Linked DNA regions of Tribolium castaneum. The protein of the gene in region 1 binds, or shares a complex with, the protein of each later gene. Links are inferred from orthologs where the notes say so. Each region holds a gene or a part of one and is shown on either strand. Other genes may lie near its edges.

Evidence for each region.
Region 2: CSN7 (region 1) and CSN3 share a complex: the UniProt entries of both Drosophila melanogaster proteins name them as parts of the CSN complex. The link is inferred for Tribolium castaneum from reciprocal best matches to the Drosophila melanogaster genes CSN7 and CSN3.

Annotation. Positions count from the first base shown.
Region 1 is NC_087395.1:497,790-501,888, forward strand, and holds the start of CSN7 (COP9 signalosome complex subunit 7b), read left to right. Parts: upstream 1-1,241; 5' UTR 1,242-1,338; coding exon 1,339-1,503; intron 1,504-1,551; coding exon 1,552-1,716; intron 1,717-3,634; coding exon 3,635-3,943; intron 3,944-3,999; coding exon 4,000-4,099. Other genes in the region: IQ domain-containing protein E-like, read right to left, coding at 770-931, 979-993. UniProt on the Drosophila melanogaster protein: Component of the COP9 signalosome complex (CSN), a complex involved in various cellular and developmental processes.
Region 2 is NC_087394.1:32,821,106-32,825,434, forward strand, and holds CSN3 (COP9 signalosome complex subunit 3), read left to right. Parts: upstream 1-1,515; 5' UTR 1,516-1,800; coding exon 1,801-2,161; intron 2,162-2,210; coding exon 2,211-2,428; intron 2,429-2,473; coding exon 2,474-2,686; intron 2,687-2,738; coding exon 2,739-2,879; intron 2,880-2,930; coding exon 2,931-3,101; intron 3,102-3,592; coding exon 3,593-3,841; 3' UTR 3,842-4,097; downstream 4,098-4,329. Other genes in the region: uncharacterized protein LOC135265914, read right to left, coding at 1-99, 164-873, 924-1,117, 1,170-1,170; nicotinamide riboside kinase 1, read right to left, coding at 4,123-4,329. UniProt on the Drosophila melanogaster protein: Component of the COP9 signalosome complex (CSN), a complex involved in various cellular and developmental processes.

The DNA.
Region 1 (4,099 bases):
TTGATCCTAAAAATAAAAAAGAAAGAATAAAAATAAAGAATTCTTAACAGTTTTTATATCTTATATAATTATACTTTTTTAAGCTTAGTTTTTGTTCCAATTGATCGTCTTTTTTAGATACCGAAAATTAAAAAGAAAATCAAAATAAAAAATTAAATAAGAATTTTTAACAATTATTGCCAAAAAAAAATAATTTTAACGTTCGTTTTTTATAACCACAATTAGTTATCTGTAAGACAGCAAAATTAAAACAAAAGTAAAAAATAATTATGTGGAATTTTTTACAATTTTTAAGCTGGGCTTTTGTTACTTCAATTAATTTATTAGTATATTTAATATAACTGTTTTTTTTGGCTCCGAGAATTAAAAAAATAAAAATAAGGAATCTTTGACATTTCTTACCTAAGGATGGTTAAATTTTAAAGCTCGGTTTTTATTTACTATTTAATTTATCGGTATGATTTATTTGTTGCCTTATTTGACTATACTTATTTGAATAAATTTGTACAAGTTTTATAGACGCCAATTTGTTGTAATTTTAGCAAAACTTTTTATACATAAACCTAATAATAACAGCTAAATTTAATTGTTTTACCTTCAATTACTAAGAAAATCATTTATTTATTGTCATATAAGGATAAAATTACAAACAAATAGTGTCAATGATGTTTTGTGAAAAACTTAAAAGAAATAAAAGAACAAATTCTCCGAAAGAAAGCGAAACACTAAAATTGTTTAAAAACTTGAAACTTTTAATAGAGTTTTTTACCTTTTTTGGATCCAATATAGCATCAATTTGTTTATCCTTTTTAATAATTTCATTCTGCAATTTGCGTATTTTCACCTTTAGCATACGATTTTCGGTGCTAATGTTGGATAAATTTTTCTTCAGATGAAAAATTTCAGTCCGCAAATCTCCATCATCTTGTAACTAATAATACAAAGTATAAATAAACTAAAGTATAAATATTTTATTACCTCATTTCGAAACATTGTAGCCGAAGACGAAGTTACGTTTGTTTTGTTTGTAATTTAAGTATTGATCAAACAAATTTTACAATGTAATTAGCAACGGATTGCAGCAAACACAAACATAAATATAGCCGGGTTAAAAATATTATATAATTAAAACTATTGTATCTATTTTCTACTATTTCTTACTTTCTTTAATCAATGTTGTTAAATTTTAAACAAATTTAAATTTACCGCTTTATGTCAAAAGCTGCGCAGGCGCAATTATGTTTCTTTGACATTTGACAGCAGCGTGTGACAGCTGATCGGTTGTTGTGTTTAAAAAGTGCTTCAAAAACAACAAATTAACTAATAAAAACTAAAAAAATGGTTATTGAAAAAAATCCTTTCCCTGGCAATGCCTTGGAACAATTTGTTTTATTGTCAAAGTCAACAAAAGGGGCTGCTTGTTCCGAACTGATCAAGCAAGTGTTGGAAGCCCCCGGTGTTTACGTTTTTGGTGAATTACTTCACATGCAAAACATTGAAGAGGTAATCAAACATATTTTTACATTTATACATTAACTAAGTGTTTTGTAGTTGAGTAATACACCACAGAAAAATTTCTACAACACTCTCAACTTGTTTGCTTACGGAACCTACAAGGATTATCTAGCAAATAAGAAGGATTTAATTGAATTAAGCCCAGCTCAGAAGAAAAAGCTTCAACATTTAACCATTGTTACGTTGGCCACCAAATCAAAGGTAGTTAAAGTAATTCCACTTTAGTGAAATTAAGTTTTTAATATGGATAACTATAGATTAGGAAACGACACGACCTACAAATAAAAAGTCCTCGTTCTCGATAGTTTCGATAGTGTTGTGTAGATGGCGGAGCACATTATTGTATTAAAATTTATCAATGGTTTTAATAGCAGTTAGCACATGGTATCCAAAAAAAGCATGTTAATGCAGCTTTTGGCTATCATTTTTTATTAAAAAAAATACAAGTTATTGCAATTTGCGAATGTTTCGGCATAAAAATGTCATCAGCTCTTAATGATTTTGTTTAATCTAGTTTGTTTAAAAACAAAAAAATTGTTGGCGTTCTTTCCAAAGCACTCTTTGTAAAAATGCTTTTTTCTCCATTTTGATGAGCATTTAAGATTCGATTATATCATGTGATACATAGATGTAATCGGAAATGAAAACACTTCAAAAATACAAAAAGCAAATATGGCTTCCATAAGAAAAAACAAAATTTAGTGTTGTAACACTGACATCAAGAACGCCTTGGAAAATGGGACGACAGATTTAGATTTCTTGTAAAAATGTACCTAAAGAACGTTCTAGTTAAAAACGTCTAGTTCTTTTGGTTTTCACTCGAAAAAAATTAAAACCCAAATTTTAACCACCTCGTATCTCGTATAATAACTGAGATTCCCATGGTGGAGCTGAAAAAACGGCCACCCAGTACATTGTTTTGACTACTATAACAATCTAAAGATAATCGAGTATATTCCTAAAATTCATAAAAGGGACATAAATTTGTACCATGTTACATGTTCAAGTTAACAAAAAAAACAAATATAAAAAAATTAAAAAAAGATTTTTTAACCATTTTTGCCTAGCGATAATCAAACTTTTCTGCTCGGTTTTTGTTACTACAATGAATTTATCAGTATCTAATACGAGTGATTTTTTTGAAAGTGAAAACAAAAAAATTAAAAACATTTTAAGCTTCTTTTTGATCCAAAAACTAGAAATTTTTACCGTACTTTATAATAAATCTTCTAAAAAGTCTGCAATTTTTTTTTATTTTTTGTCAAAAATAATTAAACTATCGACAAATTTACGTCATTTTCAAGCATTTTTGCACAAAAACTATTCAGTTCAAAATTGTACTATTTTTTAACTTTGTAAAAAAGTTGCATTGCATTTTTCTCTACAACTTTTTTTTAATAGAACGACTCTATTTTCTTAACGGCAATGGAAAGAATATCGATATTTATGGTGACTTTTATCAATACGTCCTATACCAATCTCTTACAGTTTTTGAAAAAAATCACAAAAAACGGATTTTACTTGGTAGTTTTCATAGTTAATCAAGTATACCTTGCAAAATGGTCAACAATTATCAAACTTCAATTTTTTATTTAGTTTTTAGCTGTTTCATTATCGAATAATCAGTAAAATAATCACATTTAATTATAGTTTATTATAAGTTAGTGAATTATGTAAAGTAACTCAGTCAGTTTGCCATTGATCCTTGAACTTCTTGAATGAAAATGGTAAATAAATAGGACATTTCTTTTTGTTAACAGTACAATTTTATCGTATTTTTCAAAAGTTTACTTGATTAAAAATGAAAATAATGAGCTAAAATTCTGTTTTTTGCGATTATTTCAAATACTGTAAGAAATAGATATATAGAAGATGTTATTAAAAGTATGCATAAAAATTGATGTTCTTTTGATTGCTATTTAAAAAACTGGGTAATTCCATTTGAAAAACTGTTTTATAATCATTTTTTAATCATCATTTTCAACAAATCATACCTCTAGCTATGTTAGAAGTTAAAGTTTCTAATGTAGGCTCTAAAAGAATCAGCCTATCTACTAATTTAACAAAATTTGATTGATTTTTCTTAGAGCAAGTAATAATAAAAACAATGTTTTTTTAGTGTATTCCGTACAACACCCTTCTGGAAGAGCTAGGCATAACAAATGTTCGTGATTTGGAGGACTTAATAATTGAGGCGATTTACGCTGACATTATTCATGGAAAATTGGACCAGAAAAATAGTCAATTGGAGGTTGATTATGCCATAGGTCGTGATATTCGTCCTGAAGACATTAATGTAATTGTGAATTGTCTCCAAGACTGGTGTTCGGCCTGTGAAGGTGTTTTGGCTTGTGTTGAAACACAAATACATAGAGCAAATAATGAAAAAAATAAATCAATGTTGAGAAAAGCTGAAGTGGAGCAAGAGGTATTTTTTTCGAGTTTGTATCATTACTTTGTTTTAGATATGCATTTTTTTTGTAGATTAGTAACATTAAAAAGACTCTGAAAACTCAATTACAAGAACGCTCTGATGGAACTGACGAGGCTATGGCTACTGATAACAGGGAAGCTGCAGCAATTA
Region 2 (4,329 bases), on another chromosome or scaffold:
TCAGTGTCCCTATATTTATATGGGCATTTAATTTCGAGAATCCCATCTTCTTCCACTAATCCATCAGGACTTGCTCCCAAAAAGCCTGATTCTTCCAACCTACAAAAAAAAGTAATATTACATTATTCATCTAAGTTATACGTGTTAATTATTTTCGACCTACCAAAATCCCGTCTCTTGGACTTTAAGATTCGTCGCTTCTTCAAATTCTCTGAGCGCTGTCTTCTCGTGGGTCTTACCCCACTGCACAGCAGCAACCCTGTCAAGCGAATAGCCTTCCGCCAAATTTTTAAATAAAGAGGGTGGGAATCTTCGTCTACTGCAAGCAGATAGTACCATGCCAAACCTGCTGGCCGTTAAACGATGTTTCCTTGCTACATGCCAATTTTCGTTAACATGTTGGCCCCGAGTGCACGCCTCAACCAGTTTAATGCGTGCCTCATCTATTCTGCACTTCTCCAAAAGAAACTTTTGTTTGTCTATGGCCTGCACGTATTCTAAGCTTTGTAGAATTTCTTCGATATCTGCAATAATTTTTCTGGCTTCTTCACTTGCTTCTGGTCTTAGGAGCCAAGTGAAGCCCACCACATTCGTGACGCCTATTTCGGCACGGAACTGAATAATTTCGTCCTCAGTAGAGGACCTAGACAGTGCCGTATAGTTTGATAATTTCGGCTTGTAAACATCAGCTAACTTAATGACTTCTGTTTGTGGTGTTGTTTTTGATGGGGCACTCCACTGACACTCAATGTCAGTAGCACTTACATTATAATGAGCATAATATAATGCTGCAGCCATATGATGGCAAGCCACGTTGCCCCTTGGGCAGGTACAATGTGCCGTCTTAACCCCTTCTTCTAGGTCATATGAAATCTAAAACACACTTTGTAGAAGAAATGTCTAACAGTTAAATAAATACAAACCTCCACAGTATAATTTAGCTTTTTCATGCTCGGTAGAACTTCTGCAGAAATTCTCATCGGTTGTACTGTGCCATCAAACCTAAATTTGGTGACGTGACCGCTGGTAAAAGCATTTTCTCCCCGAACTAAAAAGCGATTACCGTCCCCAAAAAATTTCGCAATAAAGTGAAACTTAACAATGTGCTTTTCTGCCACTAAAATGCATAAATATAATAGTTTCTCAAAGTATAATTAAAGCTTACTCACTTTCTCACCGACAACGTGGTTCCCTGTATTCTTTTATAAAGTTCGTATTTTCACAAAAAGTCACTTCTAAATTAAATTAAAGTCTCTAGTGGCACAAATTACACCCGCTGCAGCTATTTGACACGTTATTAACGCACAAACACAACCAAAAAACCGAAAAACGTATTACACCACATGTAAAAGACTGGTTGTTTAGCTTTGAGCAACTGACCTACCGTAATAAGAGTGGGGAGGTGACGTCACGACTGATAGCGCGTATTCCACGTTTCGAGTTCCACGTTTTCGAGTTTAATTGGTCGTGGGGTTTGTTTCCTTTTAGTTAACTGGGGCGAAGCCCCAGCCACGCGCAACATATTTCCATAAAAACCACTATTCCAATATGCCCAGCTGAAATGAGAAGTCCGTTATGGTCTCCGTTCGTACTGTTCCGACCTCGCTCGCAACATTTCGACTGAGCGAACATTTGTAGACCGGCAGGGGCTAGCCGCTAGTAGTTGCACCAACCCGTTCCCCCAGTTTCGGTTGGCTCCCCTTTCGAAATCTGTCATCACACCGGTTGTCAATTCAGATCCTAGTATAAAAATAGTAATAATTTATTCAGCAAAACGTAATTTTCCCACATCCGAATGAAATGGCATCCGTTTTAGAACAGTTTGTGACGACTGTTAGGACCCTCTCATCCCATGGTTTGTACCCGAATCGGGCAAATTCCCGTACGAAATGTGTGAATGAGGTTATGTTTGCAGGAAACTATAAAGTTCTTTGTGAATATTTAAGTAAATCGTCGGATATCCTCCTGAAAAACACGCAGCACTTGGACAACGTGCTCGAGACGCTCGATCTGCAGCAGCACTCGCTCGGCTATTTGGTGGTGTTATGCGCTAAATTTAATTCAACAGTCCCAGCTAATACGCCAGACAATCGGTTTGCACAAGTGCAAGAGTTTATCCATGGCTGTAACGGAGAGCAGATCAGACTGGCCCCCGACACTTGTACTGACTGGGCGGGAGTGTGGCCAGTTTTTTAATAGTCTGGTTTCAGTTGCTGAATTATGCCACTCTCTAACAAATTATCTAGTTGAGCAGAAGCAACCCATGAAAGGGATTCTCCTCTTACGAAAGGCCATTTCGAAGTTGCGGTTCTTCGATTCGCAGTTAACTTCGATCCATGCTGATCTGTGCCAGTTGTGCTTATTGGCAAAGTGCTTTAAGCCTGCTCTAGAAATTTTAGATACTGATATTACTGGAATTTGCCAAGAGGTAACCTAAACAATGCGGAACTACAATTTTTGGCTTATTTTTTAGATTGTTCATAATCCTAATGGGGCCCAATTTGAAGCAAAATATTTTTTATTGTATTACTATTATGGCGGAATGATTTATTTAGCTGTGAGAAATTTGGATCGTGCTTTGTATTTCTTTGAGGTAGCTATAACAACCCCAGCACATGCTGTTTCTCATATTATGCTCGAGGCATACAAGAAGTACATTATAGTTTCACTTTTATTACATGGAAAAGTGAGTTTTTGTATTTTGTGAAGAAAATGTTTCTATTTTAATCGAGTTTTAGATACAACCAGTGCCTAAATATGCTTCACAAGTGGTTACTCGGTTTATCAAACCATTATCTCAGCCTTATAATGATTTAGCAAATTCTTTCACTTCAAACAACACAGCGGATTTGAATGCTGTACTTAACAAACATAGAGAGGTAATCAATTTTTTTTTGTGATAATATTTTAGTTGTATTTCTGGTTTTAAGGCATTCACCAGGGATCACAATTTAGGTCTTGTAAAACAGGTATCCTCAGTGCTTTACAAGAAAAACATTCAAAGGCTGACGAAAACCTTCTTAACGTTAAGTTTGTCAGATGTGGCGAGCCGAGTCGGATTGCCTGGCCCTTCGGATGCCGAGCGCTACATTTTACACATGGTAAAAAATTCTAAATTGCGCAAATTTTTTTACGGTGGTTTTTTGATAACTACCTCTTTTATTTCCTGAATCACATTTTTGTATCAAAAGAACACACAAATAATGTTAAGAAATATGCGTGATAAAGGTGAGCTTGACAGGACCGTTTTTAGCTAAATTTGTGCCCTTCTTCAAGTCTCAATATTTGAAAGGAAAGTAATAGTTTTTAGCTAATTATACTCTGGTAATTTATTAAAATTTGTTAAGATTGTTATGAATCTTGTAAACACGTTAACTTCTTTTTAAAATTAGTTGTCCGATTAAATTTTAACTGTCTTGTAAAACTGTAGGTCACTGTTGTAACAGCTTTTCTTTAGCAAGTTACGTTATTTTTTGGGTTAAAATGAATTTTTCTCAATTTTTTGATAGAGGTAAGCCAACATAAAGTAAAACACAATAGTGCATTTTTTTTAAAGGTAACATTGTGAAAAAATGCTCTGAAATATTTTCAGATCGAAGATCAGCAAATCTACGCCACGATAAACCAAAAAGACGGAATGGTTGTGTTTAGAGACGAGCCTGAGAAATACGGGGGCCCAGACGTGCTGAAAAGCCTAGAAGCTCAACTAGCAATTTGTATGGAACTTGACAAACAAATCCTTGCAATGGACGAAGACATCCAAGTGAATCCCGTCTACGTGAAGAAGTCGAGCGGTGTACAAGACGAGGAGCAGCCCAGCAAAAGTACATACGCGATGTAAAAATTTCAGTTGCTCAGTGTTATCAGTTTTCATTTTGTACACTTGAAATATTTAAGCTTTTTCATGAAGAAAGGGAAACGTCAGCTCATTAACTTGTAATCGAAATTATAACATTATAAACACTGTGTGTTTTTGTAGTTTAATACCATTTCTCAGAGACGTGTACATTATTTATTTTGTGTTTCTTTAAGTAATAACAATTCGAGATTTACATTGTACTGAGGTTATTTACAATAAAATACTGATATACTTGCTACATCAGTATATTTCGGAACGTGGCATCACAACTTTACAAACTCCAAAATACTATCAATATCACCGAGTACTTCTTCTAAGGCTTTGTGTGAACGTCCGTCGAAAAACCGCACTCCTTCGACTTCGTTCTCCACTTCTTCTTTCTGTTTTAAGTGTTCAGGCCAAGCGCACTGTTCGAAATAACCAGGACAGTCTGGAGGCTCGTAAACCCTTTGTTCACGTCGTGCGAAACA